Linked DNA regions of Drosophila melanogaster. The protein of the gene in region 1 interacts with the protein of each later gene in a pairwise test. Each region holds a gene or a part of one and is shown in the gene's direction. Other genes may lie near its edges. The genes, in order: CG14625, CG3323, RtGEF and CG11905.

Evidence for each region.
Region 2: the proteins of CG14625 (region 1) and CG3323 interact in a two-hybrid assay, tested with the Drosophila melanogaster proteins (one large-scale study listed by BioGRID).
Region 3: the proteins of CG14625 (region 1) and RtGEF interact in a two-hybrid assay, tested with the Drosophila melanogaster proteins (one large-scale study listed by BioGRID).
Region 4: the proteins of CG14625 (region 1) and CG11905 interact in a two-hybrid assay, tested with the Drosophila melanogaster proteins (one large-scale study listed by BioGRID).

Annotation. Positions count from the first base shown.
Region 1 is NC_004354.4:1,196,827-1,204,555, forward strand, and holds CG14625 (uncharacterized protein), read left to right. Parts: upstream 1-2,719; 5' UTR 2,720-2,791; coding exon 2,792-2,845; intron 2,846-3,798; coding exon 3,799-4,021; intron 4,022-4,101; coding exon 4,102-6,095; 3' UTR 6,096-6,331; downstream 6,332-7,729. Other genes in the region: CG11381 (uncharacterized protein), read left to right, coding at 7,036-7,053, 7,108-7,729.
Region 2 is NC_004354.4:5,301,717-5,308,375, reverse strand, and holds CG3323 (uncharacterized protein), read left to right. Parts: upstream 1-2,684; 5' UTR 2,685-2,831; coding exon 2,832-3,045; intron 3,046-3,121; coding exon 3,122-5,157; 3' UTR 5,158-5,388; downstream 5,389-6,659. Other genes in the region: Cdk7 (Cyclin-dependent kinase 7), read left to right, coding at 1-614; CG17764 (uncharacterized protein), read left to right, coding at 1,164-1,982; CG42749 (uncharacterized protein), read right to left, coding at 2,182-2,299, 2,381-2,497, 6,105-6,255, 6,317-6,659.
Region 3 is NT_033779.5:20,350,962-20,357,581, forward strand, and holds the start of RtGEF (Rho-type guanine nucleotide exchange factor), read left to right. Parts: upstream 1-3,005; 5' UTR 3,006-3,106; intron 3,107-4,401; 5' UTR 4,402-4,448; coding exon 4,449-4,786; intron 4,787-4,844; coding exon 4,845-5,045; intron 5,046-5,123; coding exon 5,124-5,544; intron 5,545-5,600; coding exon 5,601-5,840; intron 5,841-5,914; coding exon 5,915-6,620.
Region 4 is NT_037436.4:16,929,776-16,938,416, reverse strand, and holds CG11905 (uncharacterized protein), read left to right. Parts: upstream 1-2,880; 5' UTR 2,881-2,929; exon of another isoform or gene 2,930-3,111; 5' UTR 3,112-3,208; coding exon 3,209-3,223; intron 3,224-5,056; coding exon 5,057-5,124; intron 5,125-5,405; coding exon 5,406-7,146; 3' UTR 7,147-7,245; downstream 7,246-8,641. Other genes in the region: CG13022 (uncharacterized protein), read left to right, coding at 1-71.

The DNA of each region.
Region 1 (7,729 bases):
ATTGTTAGCAGGCACGCAATTGGAAAATGCGGGGAAAATCCCGGAGGAAATTTGCGAGGATGATGGCCCTCGCCATTCCAAAGAGTTCTCTTTTCCCTATCAAGTCAAGTAGTTAGCATGGCAAGAGTTCTGGGTGTGTGACTATACCTGTAGTTCAGCGCAACAAGATCCTCAAATGCACAGCATCATTGTACATAAAATAAGTTTATATGATCTGTGCTACACAGTGGCTGCTTGTTGTGGAGTGGTTTCTGGTGAAGCTGACGTTTTATGGGTCCATTGTTGGGACGTAGCAATCGTTTATTCAGATCTTAAAGCAGGTGCTTTTCACTTTTTCGGCACAGCGAAAGGAAGTACTGGATGATTGATAAGATTCCGGGACAGGGAAAAGACCCTGATTCCCTGAATGGCCTTACTTTGAAAGCAAATTGGAAGGCTTCCCAAAGGTTCAAACAAAACAATGTGATCGACGGCGCACTTCTGAATTCCCCGTGCAAAATGGCCAGGCGTAGAGATCACCATCCCGATGGGAGGAGGAGGTACGGCATTGGGAATGCAAATGCAAATGCAAATGCAAGTGACGAATGAAAATGCGAATCTGCCAGTGAGTGCGGAAGCTGCCGACCGCTTTTTAATTTGAGTGGAAAGTAGTCGACAGGCGCTGCCGCATTTCAAAATTATAGAAATTGGCACAATTTACCATCCATTGCGGCAGCTGATTATGCTAATTGTTTGTCAGTAGTATCTCGAATCTTTACGTAAACATCCATGTGGCAAGATGGATGTGGCAAAAAGGAAGAGACCGCCATGTGAAAGTACTGGGCTTGTTGGGGCGGCAAATCGTAGCAAATTACAGTAGATGACTGGTGCACTAGATTAAGTCGGACTTAAGTAGGTTTCTGTCACTTTATTTGCCGTAAAGTGAGTTCTGATCTCTCTGGCCAGAACTTGCGTTTTTTAGCAGCAGAAGAGGTCACTTTTCAGATCTAAACGATCATCTTGAAAGAAAATACCAGCTCCGGCTATAAACAACTAATTGCTTTACAATGTGTGGCAGGGTGGGAGATGAAAGATGTAAGCAATCCGATCCACAAACATAACATTTTTCAGCATTGTCGAAGCGTTGCAGCTGCCACAGTGCAGCAAAGGCAATAGGAAAGTTAAAGAAATAAATAAATGCTGATCGGTGTATGAAGATGTATGAGATGAAGAACTTAAATACATTTACGATACATTTCAAGCCGCAGTTAAATCTTTGATTGAATTAGTTAAATTGAATTAAAAACCCAATCCTTGGCAAATCAATTGGTATTGAGACTGTTCATCTGGTGCGGCTGCCACAGCTGTTTCTTTGGCAGCTGGCAGCTGGTAGTGGATTTGGTAGTTTCTGCAGTTTTTGGCCGCATAACGGGGCATGGATAGCCATGGCTATATGTATCTATGTACCTATGGCAATCGCACTCGACTGCTGACAAGGTTGTTGATCTGCACATATGTGGAGGAGCCGAAACGCTTTGCCAGCTTTGTTTTGCTTTGCTTTAGCCGCTGCAAAGTTGTTTCGCTTTTATTATTACGGCTATTATCGTTAGTGTTAAGTGTGGCAATTGTTTCATTTTCAGTTTCAGTTTCGTTTTTCGCTTCTCATGCAGAATATTAAAATATAAATCATACGCCCTGTGGGCCAGCGCCATAGTCCGCAATAAAGAAATCCCCGGCCAGCACGTAAGGGAAATCAATGAAATGCCAATTGGCAAGTTATTCCAAGGCGTACTCCCAGTTCTCTAAGTCCGGATCTCTTTATCGAAATTGAAATCATCGCTGTTGGTTTTCGGCAACGGCAATTGCTGCTGCTCTTTCGGTAAAATCATCATAAATCAGCGAACACTTTTCTCCGTTTGTCTGGGCTCCTTGTTAATTATTATGCACTGAATCAGTGACCATGAAGCCAACCACCGAGTGAAGATCTGCCACGACCAACCACCGACTGCCCGCAATGTAAACACTGTGAGAATACAGCAAATGGGGAAATTTAAGAATACATAAAATAAGACAGATCTAGTGTTAATGGATTTGTTTCAAGTTTAATTTAAAGGGTGCTAAAGGCTCCCTGTCGAGTCATTGGACTTGCAAAAGTCCTGCTGCTTTCCGGACTCCACTCCAGAGTGGGTTAGTGACTACTGCCCGTTGTCCACTATTTGTCGTTTAACCCAATAAATGCCTTCGGTGGCGAGGATTTTACAAGTCAATTACGGGTATTACCCACCTGTGCCGGCAAACATTTCATTGAACTGCCTGTGGTGGAATGGGGATTGTTTGGCTTAGCTTATGGCTTAATTGGCCATCAAAGTGGCAGCTTAAACAGAGGCCGAAACTGAAGCCAAGAAACTAAAAACTATAAACCAGTTGTCCCGTTGTCCTCTCTCTTTCGTGCTGGCCTATCGCCTTCTCTGTTGCACCTTATCGACTTATAATGGGCGAACTTATCACGCATACGCCGTGTTGTGCGTCGATGGCTTATTACGATTCGAATTGTCATCGAAAGTGAAGCGATCTTTCTCCCCTTCTCTATCTCCAACTGTCTCTCTCTCTTCGCTTGCACTTGCACTTTTCTCGCTTTTCTTTGGCGCGCACATTCGCATAAATTTTCCGCTGCAGCGGTTCGCATCATTATAAAAGCCTCGCCTCGACAGCTGGCCGCTAACAATTCCAGCTGAGACTCTGGCGCGCCATGATGTCAGCGCTCACATCTCGATTCCGTAATCTTCAATATCAGGAGCACCACCTTGTCCATATGGGAGCAAACATTCTCAGCCGGCGGCAATGGTGCCTGTGTCTGCTGATCATCGTAAGTAGTGCGCTCACGTCCAAGGATTCGGATAATTCGATTCACGAGGAGTACCTTTTTTTTTGGTGGCCAGTGATCCAAAGTGTAGTGATGTATTTGAAAATTCATAAATGTTGGACTCGAGAGAATCTCCAGAAGTAAAAAAACAGCCCATTTGAAAATGAGATTTTTTTTATTTAATAATTCAGTGAAGAAGAGTGATAAATTTGTAAAAAATATAAATAAATATGTAAAAAAATATATATAAATGTATCTTACGATAAAAAACGAAAATAAGTGAAAAAAATATGTAAAAATACTCAATTAAAACTTTTTAAAAACATTAATATTTGAATCTTCAGTAATGAACTGCTGAAGCTTATCCCGCTAAAATTACATTTCGGAACATAACACCAAATTTTTAAACAAAGACCAAAAAGATTAGCCTTTTTGGGAAAATATGTCCCGAATGACTGAGAATTACGTTTTTGATACATAATCGCCAAATTCTTTTCCCATTTCGATCGAAAAGGATCCATTTGGCGATTCGCAATTGCGTGCTGCGGGTTTTTCATGCCGGTGTGTCATTGCCCTCTCCTCTGGAAAACGGTCCATTGAACTTGGCCAACTGAGCGCCGCCAACTCAATCATACAGAAATTGACTATCAACCGCCTCCTCCTTCTCCTTTTCTTTCTCTTCTCCTCCTTGAAAGCGAAAGCGAATTGGCGGAGTTTAATTAGTTTAATTGCGAAGTAGGCACAAGCCAATGAGTCTGAAACGAAGAGGCCAATTTAAGGCAGTTCGCCTAACTAGCACCCGTTGAAATGGCACACTCATCAGTTGGCCAAGGTTCCTTGTTTGTCCTATCGTTTTACTCATTTTATTTTAATGTACGGTTTTTATTGTAAGCCATGCGAATCTCCGATTATGTAATTTTCAAATAGCTGTGATTCTTTCTAATTTCTCTGAACAGATGTCGACGCTTTGCAGTGCCGTGACTGTGACCTCAGGCACGTCTGGGAACAGTCGCCGTCGATCGGGAGGTTCAGGAGCGGTGTCCTCTTTGGAGGTGACTGGGGAGAAGGCCTTTCCCGATCAACTGGCTATGGCAGCTAGCCGTAGGGGCTCCGACGATCGTGGTTACTCCAGGCGGGGATCGGTTACACAAAGCAGATTAAAGGAGGCGCCCAGCAAAGGTAATAAACCGTCCCATTTTGTTTGGCAAGCCTAAAAGTATGCACTAATCCGCAATCGACATGCATTGTATACTTCCCAGATTACAGCTTTGGCCAGGTGGAATTAAATCTCGTTCGCCCAGAGCACGAATCGCATCCAAAGCAGACCGCAGAATCCGGATCCGGAGCGTATGTCAACCTAGAAGACTCTAAATCGGCAGCCGAGTATGTGGCCAATGCCATCAAGTTGGCCTACAAACAGCCACCGACTCAACTGCGAGGTCAAAGCCAAGTTCAGAACCCTAGCAACAACCACATCCAGGCGCAAAAGGAACAGCAACCTACCACCCAGAGAAGTTACCAGGAACAGAGAAGGGATAGGGAGATCCTGGAGATGCAATTGCAGAAGGAACTGCATCAGCAGGCCCTGCTCCTGTCCTCAGGACCCTCGTCGCCATCCTCGTCTGGATCGTCGTCCTCCTCTTCTCCGCCGTCGCCCGCCCTAGCGCCTGCGCCAGTCTACGAAAAGGAACCCGTGACCCGGAGCTATGAACTCTACGAACACGCAACCGAGGACGAGTCCCATGTCCAGGCCCAAGAGCAAGACATCGAACGCCACTATCGTCCCAAGTACAGCAATAACTACAACAACATCTACGCCCCCTATCAACCGCCGCAAATTTACAGAAATCTCGAGGCCGAGGCCGAGGAAAAAGTCAGGGTCTCTGCCTCCACGGAAATTCCCAAATCGGAGATAATGAAACAGATTGAAAAGTCCGTGATCAAGTACATGAAGGAACTAGAGGCCGAAGGTAAAATCATAAGTACGCCCCAAGAGACGGCCACGCCTCCTCCACCACCACCGCCTCCGCCGATTACCAAGACCTACTACAAGTCGCAGACGCTCTCATCTGGTCTCCATTCCGGTTCCATTCCCTCGTCGCACTCGCATTCACACTCGGAGGAAAAGCGTTACAGCAGCAGTACAGTGAGGCCCAAGTATACGGTCCCACCAACGACAAAACAACAACAGTTGCATCACCACCAGCAGCAGGTGCTCCACCCACAGCACCACAGCCACCAAATAGCCGGAAAACTGAGGGGCTCTTCATTGGCAATAACGAATTCAAAGCCCATTCAGCACTTTCAGTCCGAAACGGAAACGGCATATCAGGCCCCCGATTTGCCCGTCGACGAACTGAGTCCGAATGTGGAGTTTATTTACAAAATCAAGACCCGAGCTCCCCTGCAAACGGCCACAGTGAAGACGGTTTCGAAGCCCTACACTTTGCCTCTGAAAAGTGCCGAGCACTTTGACCACAGTGCGGCCCTCAAGAACATCGAAGAATTCGATCTATCCCACGTAGTTCCCACTCCAGATCGAGTGGAACGGGAGCGGGAAAGGGAAAGGGAAAGGGAGCGTGATTCTCGGGAAGATCAGGAGAGGCTTACAAACTCTGGCAAGCAGCACAAGTTGTATTTCAATTCGGAAATCTATCATGACATCAATGCCTTGCCCTACAAAAGTAAAGAGGCAGCTCTGCAGGAATATCGCCACAAGCTCAAGGCTTCCGGGTCATCCGGGGAACTGCATCCGGACTACAAAGGCTACTCCTCATCCGGTTACTTTGCCGAGCCGGAAGCAGAGACTGAGAATGAATCAAAACTAATCCTTAACGAAGAAGGCTATCCCTATCATTATGTGCTGAAGAAGGAAACCCTACTAGATGATCATGAGCCCTGGTTGTCCCACGCGCACGGCCACGCCCACCAGCACACCCATGGCCACGCCCACTCGCACAGCAACAGCAACAAGCACCCGAGTCTTGAATACGACAGCTACAGTCCGAAGTTCAACAACAATCCCGAGGGCTACGGCTATCAGCACACGTACAAGGTCAGAGGTCAACCAGCAGGCGGTGCCGGGTCGGGGGGCGTGGCTGGCATAGGCAGTAACACGGGGACCGGAGCTGGAAAGCGCGGCAAGCGGGGGGGAGGCGGTCATCCCAGACAAGAGGCGATTAAGAAGCAACTGCGCTCATCGGAGGTCAAGGACTTGGAAGCCAGTTTGGCTCTGAGGCCACCGCCCAAATAGTAAACCCCATCCCTCGATTAATCAATCGAATAAGCCGCAAAACTCCACCACCACCCTCATAGCTTATTTTATGCCAGAATTTCGAGCATGCTTCATTGTATATGCTATTGTCTTTTTTTTGTAGAATCTAAGTGTAAGTACGATTATTTATTGTATGGCCACCAACTGCTGAAGTGGTAGCCAACTAAAACAGACGATAACAAATTACGCCAATAAACAAATTAATGAAATAACTTAAAATAAAAACTATCGCTTATCCATTGACATTTTTAAATAGCTCAAGACTTCATTCCATTATCATGATAGCCCCATGAACTAGATTTTCTATATCTATCCAAAAATTCGAACTGCTTGGAAAAGTGCGAATGCCGCCTCTGTTGATCAGTTTTTTTTTTTTAGTTTCGATTTTTATTCGTCTCATTTCTTCGCTCTATGTGTGGGTGTGAGTGTTTGAGTGTGTGTGTGTGTGATGTAATTAATAATTTTAGCGCACAATTATAAGGCAGCCGCCCACATCCACCCAATGAACGAACTGATTGAAACATCCAGAGATTCAGCCTCGGATTGGGTAAGTCACAGTAAAAGTGCCTCCTCTTTTGCAATTTAACTCTTTCTCTTGGTGGAAGTACATCCACCGCATTTGCATTCTGGTTTTATATAGGAACACAAGTTGTACGGGTAAGAATCTGTTGTAAATGGCAGAAAAGAGTGTCAAATGTGTTGTTACGTGAGATTTGGACGATTAATCGCCAGCCCAGCGGCCACATTGTCTCTATTTTTTTGTGGCTCAAATTCGGCACCCGCTCACGCACAGATTTTATTCAAGATCATATAGTGGCTCAGTGCCGGCCGATGATGGTGGGTATAAAACGTATTTTCACTGGCCATAGCTAGTCATTGCTCACTCAGCATTCAAGCCCCCAAATCAGCCGCATAGACGATGCTCAAAGCCGCAAAGGTGAGCCCGGCGAATTTCATTCGAAGGTCCTGTATTAATAGGTTTTCTTGCCAGATCCCCTTGTTCTTCGCCCTTTTGGGTGCTGTGTGTATCCAGGCCGTCGTGGTTGGTCCCCAGCCATTGCATAATAACAACAGGAACGGCTACCGCTACAATGGCCCCGCCCACAAGTATCTCCCATCGGAGGAGTCGCACTCGCACGGCAGCCCCTTGGATTCGAGTCACCAGCATGATCAGCAGGGCCCCAGTAATGCCTACAACTCACATCATTACCCAGCACAGGAGCAACATGGCCAGGGAGCGCCGGAGCACGACCATCAGCAGAAGGAGGTTGACTCCTGGCAAACGGCTCTTTCCCAGCAGCAACACGAGAGCTTCGGAAACCAGCAAAATCATCAGAACGCCTACAATGAAGGACCTGTGTACCAGCACTATCAGGGATTTAACCACCAACAACATTATGGATTAAGCCAACAGCAACAGCATGAAAGCTACGGGCAGGAACACTATCAACAGAGCCCCAACCAGCTGCAACACCATCAGTCCCAACACGCAAACGAATATGCCTACGAACCAGCTCATTTCCAGCAGCAACAGCAGCATCACGAAATTCAGGGTCACAAGCAGCATCAGCAGAGGAAAGAGCACTGGAACTTCGTTCAAGAGCAGCAACCCC
Region 2 (6,659 bases), 4.1 Mb from region 1:
TCCTAAAGATTGGCGATTTCGGTTTGGCCAAGTCCTTCGGTTCGCCCAATCGCATTTACACGCACCACGTGGTCACACGCTGGTATCGTTCGCCCGAATTGCTCTTTGGCGCCCGACAATATGGCACCGGTGTGGATATGTGGGCAGTTGGCTGCATTTTGGCTGAACTTATGCTGCGAGTGCCGTTCATGCCGGGCGATTCGGATCTGGATCAGCTGACACGGATCTTTTCCACACTGGGAACACCCACGGAAGCTGAATGGCCGCATTTGAGCAAACTGCACGACTATCTGCAGTTTCGCAACTTTCCGGGCACACCATTGGACAATATATTCACCGCCGCGGGCAATGACTTGATCCATCTGATGCAACGCCTGTTTGCCATGAATCCGCTGCGGCGTGTGTCCTGCCGCGAGGCACTGAGCATGCCGTATTTCGCTAACAAACCGGCGCCCACAGTGGGTCCCAAGTTGCCAATGCCGTCGGCCATTCTGGCCGCCAAGGAGGGCGCCAATCCGCAGACCGGCGACACGAAGCCTGCGCTCAAGCGCAAGCTGGTCGAGACTACGGTGAGGGGCAATGGATTGGCCCAGAAGAAGCGGCTGCAGTTCTAGCACACACACACACACACACACACACACACACACCCACACACACTCACTCAGTTAACACACACTTTCCATTATAACATTGATGTTTGTGATCGCGTTACGTTGTTCACCGCAGACATGCACAATAAGTTCTATTGAAAGGCTTAAGGATGCATTGCATCCACTCCAAAAGCTCCACTCCATTCTAATTGATATGAATTTTTCTCGCTTGGCAAAACCTTTTCGCCACCCAACATGAGTTGTTAAGACTATGCTTAAGATGATTGAGGATGATCTATTAAAGATGTGATTGAAAGCGAGCGAAAATTGAGTAGTTAATTAGTAGTACATAGGATCCTGGTAGGTTGTGCAAAAGCTGTTCCAGTGCACGCTACCGTATTTATATTTCTGAAAACAAATTGGTAACCAAGTCAATCGACGCACATTTGAAACTCTCGAAATTCTCAGCGCTCGTTTCGGTCCGTGTTTTGTTTTGTTTTTTTTTTTTTTTTCCTTTTTGCTAGTGTTAACTAAAGATTTGCCGTATTTCGTTTTCCTGTTTGGAGTTAGACGATGTCAAAGGCGCAGCAACTGATGGCCAGGGACCAACAGGCGGCCAGGACGGAGGAGGAGGCGCGTCGCAAGCGCGCCGAGATGCGTCAAAGCTATGGTAACAAATTTTCCAGCATAAATCTGCATAGGATGCGCCAGAAGCAGACGACCAATGCCGGCGATGTCATCGCCACCAAAGCAACCACAATGGATGCTGCCTACAGCAAGAAGGCGCCGGTGGAAACCAATGCCGATGCGCCGGCAATGCCGACGAAAAAGGAAAAGGATGACCCCTCACTGCGTCGCATCGCTTCCAGTTTTGCGCACGTGCGGGATTTAGTTAGCGGCAGCACCGACGCCCTGCCCCTGGAGGATAGCGAGGATGATGCTCGCGAGGAGCGCGCCGAGGTGCTCATCTTCAGTCAGACAATGCCGCCACCCGATGAGCTGTCCGTTGACTTGCCATCTCCTGGCAAATCTGAGCCGGAAACGGAGCCCGACCTCCAGTCCCAATCTCAGTTCAATCTGGAATCTGAACAGCAACCTCAACCGGAAACCAACAGCACAGACATTGCTGCTGCTGCTGCTGCTGCACAGATCGCTGAATTGTCGGCATCAGTGATGTCGTCCAAAGTAATGCTCGATGCGCCGCACACCGAATCCCGGGCCTTCGAACGCTGGCAGCAGCTGGGCAGCACGGTATCGGCACTTTTCCGTGCCCGGCGGAACATCGACATCGCTGAGTCGCCGATGGCGCAGACTCGACGATTGCGCGAACAGCGCGAGCTGCTCGAGGCATTCACCCGACCCTTTCTGTACGACGCGTACAGGAGGGAGTAAGTAAGGCTTGCGGTGACGCCTGAGAACTGAAACGGAAAGCCCAACAAACGGAGGCACCCCCCCTTGCCAAGCCATTGAAATTCAAACAATTTAGAGCAGTGTCTTCGATTAAATTCAATTCATTAGATCTCGCATATCGCATCTCGCATCCTCCGCATGGGCAATGGGTGGGCAGCACAGCTGTGGCTCGCAATCCGGTTTAGTAGCAGCGGCATCTGTCCGGCGGACACTCCGATTCATAGTTGAGACACTTGTCCATGCAGTAGGTGTCGGCACCATCCTGTCCAGCATACTCGCCAATGGCCACGCACTCCTGACTGTGCAATTGATATGGGTTTAGATTCGAACTTGCTATGTATGTATCTCGTTAGATACATATTATTCATGTGCATACTTACGGACATTGGCAGGCGTCCTCCGGACAATTGGGCGGATAGCGCAGGCAATTGATCTCGCACCAGTTGTCGATGCCCGGCAAGGCACGGAATGCTGGGGCGCCAATGCACTTTTGGTCACTAAAAGAAATCAATAGCATAGCCACATAACAAGAAGAATTCCATGATGCTAAAAAAAAAACTACTAGGATCAACTAGATGGCTTTGGAAATGGCATCGCAGCAGTCCTTGAACACCCGGCGTTCGGCTGTCAAGTTCGATTTCGATTTTAGTCCCAGCTGTTCGTTTCACTCAGTCAGTCGACTAGAACAGTGCTCCCACTCCCAATATTTATTTTATAAGCTCGACATTACAATAAATCGAACACAAAACGAAGGTCACATATTATATATATATATATATATATATATATATAGCAGATGTCGCAATAGATCGCTGTAGCGGAGCAACCAACATGAATCGCAATCGAATCAATCAGATACGCCAGTTAGATCGCGGCCAGGAGGGACTGCCGCAAGTCATCCAAATGCAGGGACAGGCACAGGTTCAGCTGGGCGGCGACCAGGGTAATCACGTCGGCAACGAGGGACAAGCGACGGGCAATCAGAATGTCCGCCGCAAGATGACCTACACCAGAACGGAGATGCTGTCGCGTGGCCTGCCCACCGGTAAGTTTCGTCCAACCAAAGATCTCAGATTTTTTTTTCTTATTTTGTTTTCTTTTTTTTTTTTTTTTTTGTTCAGTTAACAACAGCAATCGTTCGGCTCGAAACTGCAACACAGCTGGACAGGATTGGACCAGTCAATTGTCGCCCAGACATCGTTACGCACAACCACCAAAGTCCGGAATACCGGTCCCTCCGTTGTTCCTAAGCAGCACCCATGCAAGCACCAATAAGAATGTCACCACTGCCAGTCGTCAGCGTAGTTTCCTGCCCCGAGTGGCCAAATTGCCAAACAGAGCGGACAAATCGCCGAGGAAGAATCAATATCGCGAAGCTCTGACCACTGAGGTCACGGTGGAGCAATCTCAGACGTTGCCATTGGGCAATCACAAGGCTAAACATTTGGTGAATACACCACATGACAGCGAGAGCAGCATTCTGCAGGACGGCAGTGATGATAAGCTAATAAGCGACAGCGGCAGCTCAATGGATCACGACAAGATCAAATTGGCCAAGGCCATACGCCTGCCGGATGAGGGGAACAAGAGTTTCGTCTATGTATGCAAGCCGGTGAAGAAGGTCAAAGCTCTGTTGACTGCCAGAAAATTGCGCGCTAGCAGCGAGCACTTGAATGGCCCAAAGGATGGTGAGTTTAGCTTGCAGGAACAGGAGACATTCAAGCTGCAGAGGACCATTTCCGAGGAGGCTCTATGCAGCCGTGGCGCCGGCGAGGGATACACACTCTCGCCCGTCGAGGGACTGGCACAGAGCACATCGACCACCTCCAGCCAGTTGGATAGTCCCACATTGGCGGCCATGCTGCAGCGCCAGCAGCAATTCGAGTCGAAGGCGGTTGGCAGTCAGGACCGTTTGAGGTTGCAATTGGAGGAGGTGTGCCACAGGCACAATAATCAGCGCCAGCTGGAAAAGGATCAGTACGAGAAGGAGCAGCGCCAATTGGAATTGGATCAGGTGTCAAAGAAACTGCCCGTGCTGCAGCATGAGATACATATGCTGCATAAGGTGAGCGAAAAACTGGAGGCGACACTAAGGGCCACCAATATACCCAAGCCGAGAAGCAACGTAATCATTACGGATATAAGCCGGCAATCATCTGGACGTTTCTACACACCGCGCACCAGTCCCAATCAATTGGACGAGCTGCCCATTAGGAAATTGTGTTGTTTGCGCTTGGAATATATACCAGCTATTGAGATGCGGGCACGCATCATTGGCACCGTTTGCCATGTGGGCTTTGTCCAAGAGTTTCGCATCGAGACCAAAACACTTAACGAGCTAAAGACGGCGGATGAGTCGCAATGCTTCTATTTACCGGCACCCAAAGAGGAACCGCCATTGGTCCAGCTCAACGAGGATGATCCATTGCAGTGCACCAACTTTCGTCAGTTGCGTAAGAATCCGAATATGCTGTTTCAGCAACTGCGAAAAGTGCCCGGCGCTGGGGGATCCTTTAATCTTTTGGATCAGGACACAATGTTCTTCAATAGTCTGGCCTATGCGGATTCAAAAATCATGGATGCTAACACCGTCGAACAGCTTGAGGTGGCCACACGCGAGGCGGGTGGCGGTGGAGCAACTATGGCCCATTATGGCGGAGCCATTGCCTATTCACGCCTCTCGGTGCGTCTCAACGAAGTGGGCGTGGATGATGCTGCTGCTGCTGCTGCTCCTCCTACTCCTGCAGTGAAATCAGAGGAGCAGGGCGATCGTCTAACTGAATGTCCTTGTCAGGTGAACAATACCACTCAAACGGACGTGGAATTGTCCAAGTTGGAGAAAATTCGAGAAGCGGAAGAGGAAATTAGTTCACCAGACTTTACACCCAATCCCAGTCCCAGGACAAGGAAGCGAATGAAAGTGGAGGAGCCGAACGGCAAAGTGCAAGAGGAAGACGCGTTGGAATCCAATCTCGATTCGCGACCAAAGAAGACCAGGAAAGTAATAACTCGTAGAGCGCCCGATCCACCCGTTCGTTGTGACGTGGAGCCCAAGGTGCGTTTGAAGTTGCTCAAAACCGTATTGGTGGGAATGGTCCAGATCGCTGTTATATTAGTTCTCATCATGGCCATCGGATCTCCGGATATTATCTGCTAAGCTACACAACCATCGAAATATTGCCAAGATGCCATAGAAAAAGAAGCAGTGAATGCAAAAGTAGGAGAGAGAAAAACTGTAGCGGGAAATGTGGCGATAATAGCAAGTAGCGGGAAAAGCACCGATAACCGGATTCGGTGTTTGATTTCACATTATTTTTCGAATTTATTGTTTTCTTACTCGGGCCCAAGCGAAGCCACGTCAAAGTTAATAAAATTTCATGTGTATTGCAAACCGTTAGCATCTAAAGCATTTCGATTCCCATTCGAATCTGTATCGGTTAAGCGAAGCGGTTAAGCGAAACAATATAAAAAGCATTTCTATAGGTTTTAAGTTTATTCAAGCATTTCTTTATGTACAGCAGTGCCTGTGCGTGTGTGTACCATAACCGTTTAAAATCTTAAATGTAGGCGGTGGAGAAATTTACCTTTACCCGTTACTCGTTTGAACTCTGACCCGATTCGGGCGGGATTCCATCCGAACGCGGGTGCATAGCTGTTTCGACTAGGGCTAGAAAAACGTAATCAAATCGGTTTGCGATCGGGTAGCGGGTAAGCGGGTAAGCGGTTTTAAGCAGGTATCGGGTAAGCTGTTTAACGGCCAGGCGGCTTAGCCTTGCCTTGTTTGCGTGCATGCCGCGTGGCATTGCTAGAAACCAAAGCAAGAGTTAAAATCGTGTTCGCAGAGCTGAACAAAGAACACATATTCTGTTAGAGGAAGAACAGCGAGGAGAGATGGTTCAATAAAGCGGAAACGGTAAAGTATCGTGAAAGGTGTGAAGTGAAACGGTTAATAAGTAACTAAAGCAGAAGAGAATAGCAAAAAGATAATAGAACCCAATAAACTGAATAAAAAAGGCAGAAGCGGATAGTGGAAAACAGATAGCTTAAATCCTTTGTTTCGAAATCCTGAGAACTGAGAAGAAACATTGCGTTTGCTCTACTTACCGCACAATAAGTGGAAAGATGTTGTTGTCCGCCGGAGCACGATAATCTCGATAATAGAGCAGGTATGGCGATTTGTTATTCACGAAAGGCGGTGGAATACCGCCGCCGGTATTCGAAACGATCGCCACATCCGCACAATTGCGGAATGTCTCTGTGTTAATTGAATGTATATAAATCATTTCATTCGAAAACTATCTCAACTCTCTGCTCACCTGCCTTGCCGCAGCCAACGGCTTCGGTGCCATTGGCACAGGTGCCCCACATATTGGCCGTATAGTAGGTCCATTGGAGTACGCACTGTGTGCAGGTGACATATGGCGGCAAACGTACCTTGTATCGGAATATATCCTTCTTTTTCGCATCACGCGGTATCAGATACCGATGCTCTCGACTGCCCGAAATGAGCAACGGATAACGATCGAAGCACTGCTGTGTCGCCTCCTGTCGCGGATTGTTGTTCGGACAGAGGAACATCTCGAAACGGCCATAATGATTGGCAGTCAGTTCCACCTCAACATCGATCGTCTGACCGGCGGTATAGTAGCGTGAGATGAT
Region 3 (6,620 bases), on another chromosome or scaffold:
GAAATGAATCAGGTTTTCCAATAACTGCTCGTCTGGCCAAAGGTTCAGTGGCATCTGAAAATTCACCCCACTATGCGTCATCCAAGTAGAGGCATCATAGACATCCCCACAACGGCAGACACAATCAAGCCTTCCTATAAGAACCGCCATGGGTTTTTACATACATATATGGCATATATAATAATAGAGCGGGTTTTCTTCCTTATTTCCCCTTGAGATTTTAATATACCCATACTGCTAAATTCTTCATCGATGAAGATATCTCTTACAAGAAGCATTTAGTTGACTGAATTATTGGTTTTTTTTTTTTTTTTTTTTTTTTTTTGTATTTCAACACTTTCTTTTAAGCAACATATTTATATAGAAAATCTAATACATTTTTAGACACATGACAAAATCCTATTTACGTTAAAAACAGTTTCAATCGTTTAGTCCCAACAAAGGACATTTAAAGCTTAAAGCTCAAGAATACATTTTATGTAATGACTCCTGTACTTTCGGCACAACTGTTGTTCAACTTGCTGCTGCTCGTGCAATAGTAATTTGTTGCCGGTTTCTGGAGTTCAGAGGTCCGCCTGCATAATCCATTGGGTCAATAGCAGGGCTCCTCGTGGGGCATCCGTTCCAGCTCCTCCCGAAAAGCGTTTGTTTGCTAGCACTCGCTGCGAAAGTAAAATGCACTGCCGGACGACGACGGAGGCACGTTCTGCCTGCCGCTGCCTGCCGCATGCCACCTGCCTCCCGGCCCCAAACTCCCCCATTGGATTCCCAGAACCAACAAGCATCATTACCCGAACAATTTTGAACCGCTGCCAAGAGAATTTCCTATGAAAGGTGGTGGCAAGCTGAATGCAAATTCATGCTTTTCTTTACTCTCACATGATCTTGGTTTCGGCCACCAGGTCAAAAGCAGTTTGCAAAATAAATAGCTACCCTAGAAAATATTATTTAAATCAAATTGAATTATTTCATGGTTTAAAAAGTTATATTTGTTTGTATATATTTATGTGGGGAATGTGAAAAAGTCTAGGGTAAGATCTCGTCGAACCACTTGGCTCTTTGCGCCCTATGGTTGTTATTCTTACGCTTTAATGAAAGCATGTTGGCAATATCTGTATGTGGGCCTGTGATTTCCCAAAACAAACATTGGCCGTCAAATCATGCGCCTGATTTTCACTCGTGTCTGCTGGGAAACCGCGTTTCTTCATATTTCCGCTGCTGACCTCGTTCTTGGTGTGTTGGTGTCGAGAACAGCGGATCCCCACAAGCTATTGGAACTCCCACTCGCTCACCTCTTCGGTGTGCCCACAGCCACCGATGACTTCCTCCGCCACGAAGTATCTATAAATACGGCGAGCGACGCAATCAAACTATATTACGTCCATATATCTGAGGAAATGCATCTCAAGTGGCGGCTGTGCAGCCTGTAAATCTCGGTATTGACACATTGAAGAGGCCTTATTGAGTGCAGTTCGGCTGAGCTAGTAGGGATAGCGATTCGGATCCGGTCCCGACCAGGCAGAACTGCATAAATTTGGTTTGTCTTTGGCTGACTTTGTTTGTCTTTGCCGCTGACTTTGCCAAGCAAAACAATCCACTCGCCTTTCTTTTACATCTCTCGTCTTTGTTGTTTACGTTCCCCAGTGTCCCACGAAAATAAACATTCGGTGATTTGATTTGGGGTGCTCCCCTCCGATGGATGCGACGTTTTACTCGCCAAATTGCGCATTTCCGGAAGCGGCAGGGATATTCATTTGAATTTCGCCTTCGGCGACGGATCGTTAATAACCGAAAGAGTTGTCTCTTATACTCAGAGAGCGTGGGCCCGGTGTATCTGTATCTGAAACTTGTATCTGTATCTGTATCTGGATATGGGGCCGCATAGCCGATCCGCGCGGCGCCATGTGCAAGTTTAATGAATTAATTAAAATTTGGTTCCGAGAGCTTCAATGGGGTATGTATGCATCTTTGTATGTGCCCACATATCTGCGTGTGTGCCGCTCGGTATCTGCATTTATGCATCTGCTCATCTGACCTCCGATGCATCGTTTGGAGCACCACCACCTACGGAAATTTGATTGTGCCCGGCCATGGACTTAAAGTGATTTCAGGGTTAAACGAAGCGAAGGAAAGTGACATACATTCGGCTTGGGTTTGGCGCTGCACTTATAAAGCATATTTTTTGCCGACATTCTGATCTCGGCAGATTTGAATACGAATATTCTGTGGAAAAAATATTTAGTTCTTGGTCACTCTAGCTCAAAAATTCTCCGTCGGTCTATAAGCTTCAACATCTTTATTCAGTAGAGTTTACAGTTCCAGCCTCCTTGTTTGTCTCAGAATGAAAGTCTTTGGGTTAAATTTGATTTATATTCTATCTTAAATTCTAAAAATATGACGAATTTAACATTTCCTGAGGCCATAATCCCATTAAAACCACAATGTGTGTCGCACGATTCTAAATTTTAGATTATACAAGTCTACACATTCCATAAACGTTTCCTATGATTCACGGGCATATATTGTATGATCAACAGGAAACTGAGCGGAACAGGTGAATTTTTCTGAAATAATTCTAAAATGCTTGAATATGAAGAAGTTTTCGATTGATGACTGAATCCACAAACATGGAAGATCTCACATCCAATAGGCAACCCACATATATTTTGGCACAAATATTTTTATGTGGTTTTTTTGAATAGACAATACAAAAGCACAGCGAGTGTCGCTTATTTCTCAATGAAATACAATTAAGATCCTCATTTTGGAAACGCAGATGAAAAGGTTGTCCCCGGATTCATATTTTTTGTCACATCTCTGTTGATTTTTCATGAAAATATGCGATGTGTCCGGTCGAAAACGCTCGCGTACATGTGAAAATATATTCGAATCTCCTGCGATCCGACGAGACTCTCAGAAAATGACTGCGAGAGTGGCACTTTCGGTTGCCGTGGAAAATTCGTCTGCCATATGTCGCCAGCTTTTCGGTATTTTCCGCTTTTCTCGGCAGTTTCGCTGAAGCAATGAACGCGTGCGGTGCATCGTCTGAGAGCAGAAAAACGGCGAAAAACGTCAAATTGTCGTACCACAATTTATTGTCGAAAAAGTATATATCACCCATCTATACAAAAGAGTAGCGGGTATATGTATTCGAGTGCCTAGATGGCGAAAAAGTGACATTTTAAGAAATTTTCATGCGTTTGTGCAACCAAAACGTGACCTTGCCTTAGGGAAATATTCTCATCAGCCTATAAATCTTGACAATCTCATGAGAGCGGTAATAATTCGTGAAAAACTACACGTTCCAGTTTGGCATATAGAACTTGCGATCCGCCAATATGTACACTTTCGTCTGTTTTTTATTTTTAGTATTCTAGAAAACTATTTGGGCAAAATAAACCAAGTTGTTCATATTTTTGCGTTTACTCATTGCGGCAATAGCAAACAAATGTGATGCATCTATTTTTAGAAAATATATCACTTTTTAACATTTTCAGTCCAGAATTGAATTTTTGCATAAACATAGGAATTCCTATATTAATAAAAGCACACGTCGCGCTGCCAATTTTAAATAGTACCAACGAATAGACTAGGCTAAAGACTTTTATAAACGACTTTAAAAATAATGACATCCACTAACTAGCCCCCTAGTGCCACTCATACAAGAGACCATTTCAATTAAGCTTTGGAATATTGGGGGTTTTTGTGAGTAACAATGTCGTAATATAATTTTCGAGGCATTCGAAAATATTGCGATTTTACTTCTTTCTATAGATATCTGATGTATAGAGTGCACTTGCCTTTAGAATCCAATGTGCCAATCCCATTTCCGTCAACGAAAGTGTTTAACGATTGAATGAAATGTTGATCTCTTAAAGAGTTGTTCGAACAAACCAAATAAAAAAGGTCGTAAATATTTTTAGACGCGACGTGGCCGTTGTTTATGATTTATATGTTGGCCTGTCCTGTCCGGCTATTCAAATTGTTTTTATGGCCCGAAAAGTTTTTCTTTCACAATACGCGCGAGTGATTTTTACCCAATTTTTTAATGGATCCTCGCAGCTTGTGTGACCTTGGCCATCGTGTAGCGCACGAGTTTTCCAGACACTTGCAGTAAACTAGGAAAGAAAAGCCGGAGGGGAGTCGCCGGAAAAGTGTCAAGAAACTTGCGCACGCGTTTCTCGACAGATGTTTTCAAAATGTTTTCTTCTTTGGGGCCATAATTATTGCTCGGCTAATTCCAAGAGGCTGAGGAATGCCGAGCGATCGACGATGATGTAGCTCATCGCTGCAATAATGCGTAGGTGCTGTATATAACGAGCGATATGCTCACATATGCTTTTTCATTGAGCAAATTGCCTGGCTGATGTTTCAAGTTCAATACCCATCGCCTCGTTTCAGTTGAATCAATCTAGTGCGCACTCGGATCAGCCCTGAACAATCCGATAATGGATCAGCCACTGGTGGTGCAGGCGGAGTACTCCTTCATGGGCAGCAATAACGACGAGCTGTGCTTCCAGAAGGGCGATGTCATCACGGTTACCCAGCGCGAGGATGGTGGCTGGTGGGAGGGAACGCTGAACGATAAGACTGGCTGGTTTCCCAGCAACTATGTGAATGAGTGCAAGGTGCAGCTGCCTCTAACGGAGACCATAAGGCCGCCGGAGGAGATCCAGGAGTATCGGTCTGTGGTGCTCAAGGATCTGCTTGACTCGGAGCGCGCCCATGTGGCCGAGCTGCAGGGTCTGCTCGAGAATTTCTTGGAGCCCATGCAACAGACGCAAATGTAAGTTCTCTATTCTCTGACATAATTTGAATATAATCTAAAAGGGCTTCTTCTACAGACTCAGTCAGGATGAGTACGCCCAGCTGATGTGTAACTTTGTAGAGATTGTGCGTACGCACGAGGATTTGCTTATCCAGATCGAGGAGTGCAACGATCGAGTGGGAAAACTATTTCTCACCAGCGCCCCCTTGATGAAGAAGGTGCACCAGGCGTACTGCGCTGCCCATCCAAAGGCCATTGTCATACTGGATAAGTACAAGTATGTGCTCCTCGCTTTATATACATATATTGTGGTGTTCAATTGTTAATAAATATAAATTTTTTTCTATTCCAAAAGGGACGAGCTGGAAAAGTATATGGAACGACAGGGCGCAGCCACTCCTGGATTACTTGTGCTCACGACGGGTCTATCAAAGCCCTTCCGGCGACTGGACAAATACTCGGCCATGCTGCAGGAGCTGGAGCGGCATATGGAGAGCAGTCATCCGGATCGCGGCGACACCCAGCGGAGTGTTGCCGTGTACAAAGACATAGCTGCCACCTGCTCGGCCACCCGTCGCCAAAAGGAGCTGGAGCTGCAAGTGCTCACGGGGCCAGTGCGTGGATGGCAGGGCCAAGAGCTGAGCACCCTCGGGGACATCATCCACATGGGCAGCGTTGCAGTTGGAGCTGATCATCGCGACCGATACTTTGTGCTCTTCCCTCAAACATTGCTATTCCTTAGCGTTAGTCAGCGGATGAGTGCATTCATCTATGAGGTGGGAAACACAAGCACAACATGGCGAATTTGTTTGTAATCTGTTTTCACACGCAGGGCAAGCTACCCTTAACTGGGATCATAGTGAATCGCCTGGAGGACACGGATGCCCTGAAGAACGCCTTTGAGATAAGCAGTCCCTTGATCGATCGCATTGTAGCAGTTTGTCAGGGTCCGAATGAGGCCAACAAGTGGGTGGAGCTGCTCAATGCCAATAATCCCAGCTTGCCGATGGGCATCAAACGGCAATTGAGTAACTTGAGCAACTCTTCGCTAGGACACCTAAATGCCGCTCATGTAAGTAGTATATTTCTCCTATATATTCACCTTTATTATCGTTTCGTTTTGGCGACACTTTAAACCGTGAGCAGCTGAGTCAACATTTGGATTCACGGGGCTACTGCACGCGATTCTCGCTGTGTGCCTATTACTCCAGCCCCCCGTGCCATGTGCGACCTCTCCGTGTGACTCTTCCCCCAAGCAATTACCCAGCAACAGCTCCGTACGCCAATCTTAGTGCTCACTTTGCCAGGCTTGTTAAAGGCGGCGGACTGAGGAGTGCTATCGTAAAGATGCTTCTGTATCCGCAGGCTCGCCAGAGCATCGATCTCAAAAGGATTGCGTTGCGCAAAAGGCGTTGTCACAAGGCATCTGCAAAGTTAAAAGATCTCAATACCAATCAGGATTCGGGGCAGTCCGAGTTGGAACGACAGGATGCAATTGAACTACCAACGGACTCGGAGAGCTATGACGATGACTTTGAAGATGATTTTTTGCATTCCTGCGACTCGGATCCGTTTGAATATGTGCAGTTTTACCAAAACAAGCGGAACGATTCCATGTGCAACTCCACAGGCACATTCGTGGACCATGGCACGGGTGCCAGGAGGCACTGTTCCTCTATCAACCTCATTAAATTGGATTCCGCGGACACGGACGAAGTTCTAGCGCTCAACGAGTTAAAAAAGGAGTCTCTTGTTATAGGATCCAGAGCACTAAGAGCTTTGGCTCGGAAGTCCACGACTCGAAATTCCAGTGTGCACACATCCACGGCAACTTTGGAGCTAGGTGTGGGTG
Region 4 (8,641 bases), on another chromosome or scaffold:
TCGGAAACGGAATCCAAACAAATGCCTTGACTAGCCTGCAAGAGTTGCATAAATATCGTGGCTACACGTAAATAAAATATATTAGCCAAAACTATTGCTCGTTCTACTTGGGTGTTTTGCGTTATTTACTGGAAGTCTTTGGAGATCTGACAGTGTCACCTGTCGTGTTTGAGACCTACGTGATCGGGGATCTGAACTGTAAACATATGTCAAAGAATGAATGACTTGTAAAACAGAGTTCATTCAAAGAAAAGAGTGCAGCTTTGCTTGGTTATAGAATGCAAGCAATAGTCAAATATTATCGAGAGCTCTGGATTTCATAACTTCTACGCGGCACAAAATTATCTTTGGATCGGAAGACATTATATTAACATTTATAAATAATGGTGAAATTAAAAAAAAAATGTACGTAAAAATAGATGTCCAAAAATGTATGAATTCTTTTTGTAATTGTAAATCTTGGAATATAATATTATGCTAAATAGGACGGTAGAAAGAATATTTTTCTTCATTTTAAAAAGAAACATAACTTGAGTTCCATAAAAGCGGTCATCGCATTAATAGAAAATTTTCTTGCCTGGACATAATTTTTAAACGTTTTACAATAAAAATGTTTGCATAAAGTAGATAAGGGTAAACATTGTCAGTTTCTGATCGTAAATGATTGTAAGAGCTTTAATTGCTTGTGGCGCGTGCTTTGGCACGATACAACTGCGGCGATTTATGCATGTTATAAACCCTAATTGATTTTCCGATCATAAAAATGGTTATATTCGGTCGCACAAAGTCATTTTACAAATGGACAGTGCATCCCAAAGCCAAATTGAGTCAGCTCTGTGGCTTATTTATTTTTGTTTGGGCAATTTCATGTCGGAAAGGGACCAAAATAATACAGCATTTGAAATGTTCGACGCGTGCGCGCACTTGCCAAATAATTTGAATCGAACGGAAAGCCTTGGCGTCCACGGCGTGGCCTAAATAAAATATATTTCTGGCCGCGCGAAGCCAAGAAAAGCCCATAAGCAATAATAATATGCATATTTGCTAAAACAAAAAGTTATTACATGGGCCAGTTTTGACCGAAAGTTTCACTGCCACAATTAAGTTTTAATGTCAAGAGATCTAAGCGAGTGATTTCCCTGAAACAAGTTCCTACGCACTCGAAAACTTTCTTCGCCGAATGCACTAAAAGAACGTACAGAAGAGCACTAAAAAGCTTGCCATAGCTTGACATAGATTCTATTCGGCCGGGTCTAGGGTTTGTATGGCTGAAATGGCCACGTTCTCAGCGTAGAAATCAATGGCTCACCTGGGAAGTAGCCGAGGTGCATAATTGGGTTAGCGTAGCAGCAGAACGGCCTGCATTGAAACCACAAATTACTGGGGCTCCGGCTCTCCCAGGTGCCAGTTAGCTGTTTCTGTTTATTTTCCCCCTCATAAACAACGGTTTGGGCTGGGATTCTCCTCCTCGCCGAAGGTCAGACTTAATTGGCCCGGGCCTAGGCAACGACATCCCACTAGCAGTCCCGTTTCGCCTGCATTTATAAATAGGCCCCAAGGTCTCTGGGTCTTGGGTCTTCGGTCTTCGGTCTTCGGTCTTCAACTTCTCGACTCGCTCTTCGGCTGCTTGGATTTCAGTTGGGGTTCGATTTATCGCCTTTTGATTGCTGCATTCCAATTGTGGATCAAGTGGTGCGTGTGGCGCATTCGGGGCTTACAACGTGTTGCTGCTAATTTCGTATGCTCCCTTCGGCTCTGCGCACTCGAAACCATAAATCTTGTGGCAATTTTATTGATGCCTGCGTGTGCCACAAAGGTCGACCCCCCGTTCGATGCTGCTTAATCAAGGAATATGCATTATTTCACAGCGCAGTCAGTAGCTGGCTGCTCGGGGCATAAAAGCCAATAAAAGAATAAATTGCAGTTGTATCACAGCAAAGTTAATCACAAAATTAATGGTTCTGGGCTAATAAAGACTGGTCTGCAATGAAAACAAATGACTTAAGGCACGAACCTGAAATCAATTTCTCTGATTTCAGACATTTGTTATTCATGATTATCGATCAAAAACGGTCCGAAGCTAAGTCTTAATCCTGACATCTGTTGATACCCGAGAAGTGTGTGAAGTCTTCACGCCGAAGTGCTTGTCAAATCAAAAAAAAAAAAAAAGAACATGACTCTTGAGTCACTATGTGCGAAACTTTCTAACGAGTTCCAGGCAAACATTTTAATTGAATTGCCCGGCAACGAATCGATTCTTTCATCACGGTAAGTCTCTTACCATTTTGGCTTATGTCATGTTCTGGGCCCGTTCCGAGCTGATTACCTTTCCACTTCCCACACGCATTTCGCTTCTATTCTCGTGGCTCACTCCACTTGTAATGGCCAGTCACTTCGCTCCTGTCCAGTCACACTCAATCAAGCCAATAAACGGCCAATTAATCAAAGTCAGCGCTGTGATTCTGTGTTCTTGCTAGGTGCGAGTTTGCGAAACAGTAGACTGAAGAAGCGACTGTCAGCACATTTAATCAAATGCTTGAGAAATATCTGACAATATGTTAGGCAAACTATTTGCCTAACCCAAGGGATCGGGGAAGATTTCGATCTGCGAAATCCTAGAGTTGTAAGCCTGCATATCAATTGGTGTTGTGTACCCTGGAGCTGGTAACCAAATCCCACAGATCCACGCCCCCAGATAAAAGCCAGGCCAAGGCGCTCGACTACGTGCCCGAATCGCGGTCTTCTCTTCGACTCTCTCTTCTGCCCAAAACCCAGTTCTCTTACACCTGATCGGGCCCTGTTTTCTTGGCCATTTCTTTCGCTTCGTCGTTTGCATCGCTAATGGAAATGTTATAAACAGACGCGCTGGGCCCGGCCAGCACTCAGTTCATCTTCAGACGTCGCCTGGCTCGCTGGCTCTTGGTTCTTGGTAGGAGTTCCATTTCCAGACCCTATTTATTGTGCGTGACAAAAAAAAAGAAAGAAAAACAACGGAACCTGAAACAATCGTAAATTGAAAGCTCAGCAGGATTGGTTTTATAGTGCTTTTAGTGTGTGTGATTTTGCCGCGTGATAACCCAGAGTGCCACTCATTCCCGTTCTCGTTTGCAGTTCAAGGATATATTGTCAAGGCGAGGATTGGTCAACGCCACGAACACCAAGCATTTATTGAAAAATCTGAAACTATTCACCAGAACCTCGCGTTAAAATGCGCTTTCTTGTTGTAAGTCAAATCGCATAAAAAAGAAAATTAAATACCATGAATGACTTAACTTCACATTTTGGGAATACAAAACGAAACTAGTTTATACCTGACCGCAATTAATCATTTATTGCTCTGTGCTGCCGCTGAACTCATTAACTCGTCAACTGGCCCAAGTTCGTGCCTTAAGTCTTTTGTTTCTTTCACTTCTGAATCGACACTAACTTTCACTAAGCGACTTTTTTGATTCTTGGCTTGGTTCTTTCCTTTTTTTGATCGCCTTAATTAGCCTTAATTATGCTCTGTGCCATATGCAAATATTAATAAGAGTGCCTAAAATCTTTTTGGGGTTTATAATAATCACAAATCAATTTGGACGCAAAGAACTATATTGGGGAAACTTTTTTTTATATGAATGCAAAAGGTTAAGACTTCTTTGTGCCAGTTATTGTTCACTTAGTAAAGGTTTTTCAAAAGAGTTAATTCTTTCTGAAAAGTGAAACCCTTTTGTCCATTCCATTTGAACGTGACAATATTCTAGCCCCACCCCAATTTAAAAAGTGAGAATTAATCATTCATACCTAGGAAGTATTGTTCCTTGCATTATTCATATTCCCATTATGAAAAGCATGCCCTTAAAAGTCAAAACTCTACAGCGACTCCCATAAGCAACAATGCCATTCAATTATAACCACAACCAATACAACCACTTGGGTTGAAAAGCCCAAAAAATAATTATGACTCAAAGAACATAAAATTAATATGCCGCAAACGTATAAAAATCATGCGTGGGCTAACAAATGGTAATATAAGTCTTCTTTTCCCCCTCCCAACTATCAAACAATCGGTCACATTTGTGTGGGGTTCTTAACTATAAGTGCACTGGTTTGTTTTCGAGTTTGTGATCGTTTCGATAGTGGTTCATAAATTAATCAATTTATGAGTGTAGACAGTTAGCCACACGTCCCAAGTCCATCAATCCCTGCTCAATTAGCTGCATTGGAATGGCTCTGGAATATCATTTAAGACCAAAAGACACCTGATCGGATGTGAAGATCAGGAGACAGACTCATTTATAACTTGTTTGAGAACATAAAATGCTGCGCTTAAACTTTGCATTCGAGCCATTAACCCAGTTTATTTTTGGACAAGACACACCTGATATGGGGTCGAATCGGCATCGTTATGTGAGGGCAATATAATAAATAAGGCGAAATACACAAAAGAAAGCAGACAGAAATACATCTTACTGCTTGGGGATGCAAGAGTTCTTGCAAATCAATGGCAACCAGGTTCGACAGCCTCTGCGCCAGAATCTCTTCTCTCGAGTTACGTTTCGGCACCGAAATCGTAACAGCCGCCTAGAGGTTCAGGTCAATGACACAACACGAGCCTCGACTTCGAATCCAGCTTTGGTTTTGGCTTTTGGTCTCAGTTCCTCTCGGCTTTGTGACATTTCGGCGCTGATAGATAGGCGTGCGGGCTGGTCGTTTCCACCGGCTAACGGTTGCGTCAATATTGACTTTGCCAAAGATGTGGAGAGCCGGCGAGAGTGAGTCAAATATTTGCCGATCGTGAGGTTCTTGACAATCGTATTCGAGGGAAAATCCGTCAAGTACATAAGCCGTTCCTTGCCACCTGGCTCTCACTTTTCGGCGTAGCTTTCAGCAGCGAAAGAAATTATGCAAATGTGCTGGAGGAGCAGGGAGAGAGAGACTTTCGCGACTTTCGGGACTTGACCGCATTCCACACGTGTGAATTTTGTATCCATTACGACATCAGAATACAGACACCCTATCTAACCGGCATAAATCATAGATCTCATTCATCTATTGTCACACATTTGTCTTTCAGCTCTCAACACTGCTTCTGGCCTCTTTGGCACTTGGCCAGGCTCAACAGCACGGTGGACTGGCCGTCGAGTAAGTAGACTAGTAGCTAGTTACCCAGCCCTAAGACCCCAAATAACCATGAAATGCCTTGCCTGCCAAATGTGACTGTGTCAACGCTAATGCTCATTCCAAGTAGAAGTTGATGCGCTTGCCTAGAACTATGTGACTAAACCGAAAAAAGCCCAGACTTGTGACTAACCCTCAAAACTCATTTCCCTCCACCCAACAACACATTACCCTGCATTAGCAACTAGAAGCTAACTCCACCAACAGATAGAGACCACCAAACAAACCCCACCTTTCGTTTGCAGAATTCAGAAGCAGCGGCTGGTCAAATTTCCCGAGGACTTTGAGCCCAATGCGGCCACTCCGTCCTCGGAAAAGGCGGACGAGGCCAAGCGCATCCTCGAGCAGATAGCCAAGGTTAACGAGGCCTTTGGCTACGTGAAGAAGCAGCCGGAGCAGCCCAAGCTGCCACCGATCCTTGATTCCAGTCAATACCTGTTCCCCAAGCCCGCCCATCAGCCATTTCACGCCCATCAGCACCACTTCTCGGGAAGTAATGGTCAGACCTTGTTAGAACCCTCAATTAGGGCGGTGAAACTCACAAGAAATGTGGCGGGCAGTTACAATGTGCCTCCCAGGTTGCGCCAGGCAATTGAGAGCACCTCCAAGGAGGAGAAGAAAGCGCAACTCTACTTCCGACCCAAACAGGTGGAGGTACCGAAGCCGAGTTCCGAACAAGAAGCACAGCAGCTGCCCGCCCACTTTGTGGTGCCCGTGCACCTGTACAAACTCAATAAGGAGGAGTATCTCAAGGAGCACGCCTCGCAGGAATACAAGATAAAGGGATACAAAATCATTGGCGATGTGGACAGCTTCTATGGCAAGGCGAAGGCTGGAAGAAAACAGGGCAAGACGACGCCCAAGTATCACCTGTTCTTCCTGCCCCGAGAACTGGCTCTCAATGAAGATGGCACCCCAAAAAGGGGTAATTCCACCACCATTGGTACGACCACCACAAAGGCTCCAGTGCCTGTGAACTTCAAGGAATATCGTTTGGACTCCCGCGAGAAGCCCGTGCATAAGCCACAGAAGATTCAGCCCACTTCGTCACCGGAATTAAATTCTTTGAACAGAAAGAAGGTTGGTTCCACAGCGAAACCCGTTCGCTTGAGTGGAAAGGATGCTGAACAGCAAATCTACCAGGGATCCACATCCCTTAATATCAAGGCTACATCTGCGCCTGTCCTGTTGAGTTCTACTTTACCACCATCTGGTGGCTTGCTGCCCAATCGGAATCGCTTAAGTCCATTCCGCATGCCCGGAATGAATATAGCTGAGATGCAGAATCAGACCTCGACTGCCATCAAGAATGCCTTTCAAAACATTTTCAAGCTCCCCTTCCGACCTCCAATGGCGGCCACAGCTGGAGAAGGTCCTGTGGTTGTTGGCAATGTTCCTGTGAAGAATCACTCAATCGATTCGATGGATTATAAATGGGAGGATGAAAACGAGGGCGCCGGCGATGGGATGGCCGATGATGTGGATACCATTGAGAACACAGCCGCGGAACTGGACAACAGTGCCTCCTCAGAGAAGCACTTGTTTGCTCACAAGGGCCATCACCTGATGCACACTGTGAGCCAGGTGGCCACCGCTCAGGAAAGCACCCAAAAGCAGGCATTGCGCGAAGGAGGAATCATCATTCAGCGGCTAAAGGTTCGCAGGGGCGGCATCGCTATCGCAGGACCCGGGGGCGTGGCCACGGCGGGCAGCGGAGGAACGGCGATTGTTGGTCCCGGTGGCTATGCTCTCACCCATCCACGGAGTCTCACCATCGCCGGTCCCGGGGCCAAGGTGATCTCCATACCGGCAGATGTGGACCTTAAAGATGCCCTGGCACGCACCGATCTGGAGACGAGAAGTTTTCCGCGAGAGGGAAAGATAGTGGCTACAGGACCAACGGTCTACTATGCTCCACCCACGGGCACAACAACCATGGAGGCGGATCAGGGGGCGGGGCTGGAGACGGGCCAGTTCGAGTCCTAATCCAGTTCGAGGCTTAAACCTAATAGCTATTATTTAGCACATTTAGTTAGGATCCATAGTTGGTATTGTCTAGTGTTCTAATAAATATTTGTATTTCGTAATTGTTTGGGCTTTTGCTTTCATCTTGTACATAGTAGTTTTAGATATCACACTTATTCCGCATGATATTAACCCGACACAGTTTAACCCCTCGAATTATTGCTGTAAATAATATACGACTAACCGGCGGTTCTCTTCACCATTTTCCTCTATCCCACTCTTCCTAAACCAAAAACTATCCTAACTCAAGTGCCTACTGGCGCACAACCAATATCGAGGCCTGGCCACCAGGAGCACCCGTCGCAGAGAAGTCCGGAAAACTCATTGCAGGATCTGCTCCGGCCCAGGACCTCACGCCCTATGGAGCCTATCAACCCGTGCTGTTCAGTGCCCCATACTACGCCGCCTACAATCTGCCCCTGGCCTATGTGGTGCAACCCACCATCGCCAGTGCCGATCAAGCCACCATAGCCAGTGCAACAACCACAACGACCACTACCACAACTGGCCGACCCGAAAGCTTAGCTGATGACAGCTCCAGCGAGTTGGAGAAACCAGAAAAGCTACAGGCTCTGCCTGCAGTGAAGACCCGAACCACTGGGGATCTGAAGAGTGATGTGGGTCTCCGCTCAGCGGTCAGCAAAATAAACCCCGAGTATGTGATCGAAGAGATCGTTCCGGTGCCGGGCAAGCTAGTGATCTCCACTTCTGGGTCACCCCGCTCCGCCAAGCAGCAGTTGAAGAAGGCGATTGCCCCACAAAAAATGAGAAAGCAGGCGGGTGGAAGAGTTCCCTTGAAGGTTGAGGCCACCGGAAAGACCAGCACGAGTTCCGGCAACTTTCCGCAGATCCCATTTGGAAACTACTTCCTGCCCTATAGACCGGAGCAGGCTCAGGCGATCCAGGGACGCAAGCAGGCTGCACTCATCCTGGAACCTCATTCCAAAGCGGTGGTTGGTAATGGTGGCACTGCCATATCCACGCCCATTTCCAAGGCGTATCTGAAGAAGGGTGTACCCACCAACGTTTACTTCAATCCGGAATCTGTGGCCATAGCAGGTGTGGGTGGCAAGGCGCATGCTACGGCGGATTTGGAATTGGATCTGTTCACGTAAAGGAGCAAGGATTTAACTTAAAGCTCACTTTCATTAACTGATTACTTGGCATTATTTTGAAAGTCAATTGACACAGTACGCAAAACACGCAAAGACAATTTTCCTATGAAATCAGTTGCTGAAAATGGGCTCTATGTAGTAGGTTACCCAACAGAATCTAATTGGTAGTTCCTCCTCCCAACTGACCTATGTTCCTATGTTAAGAACATAGGCCTATCTGATGTGTCATTTCTTAGATTGTAAATAAAGTAAACCGTAAACTGTACAGCTTTCGCCTTGGGTCATATAGTAGTCCGCTAATCCCATGTAGATACTTCTACGCTTCTCTTAATCCCCGCTTT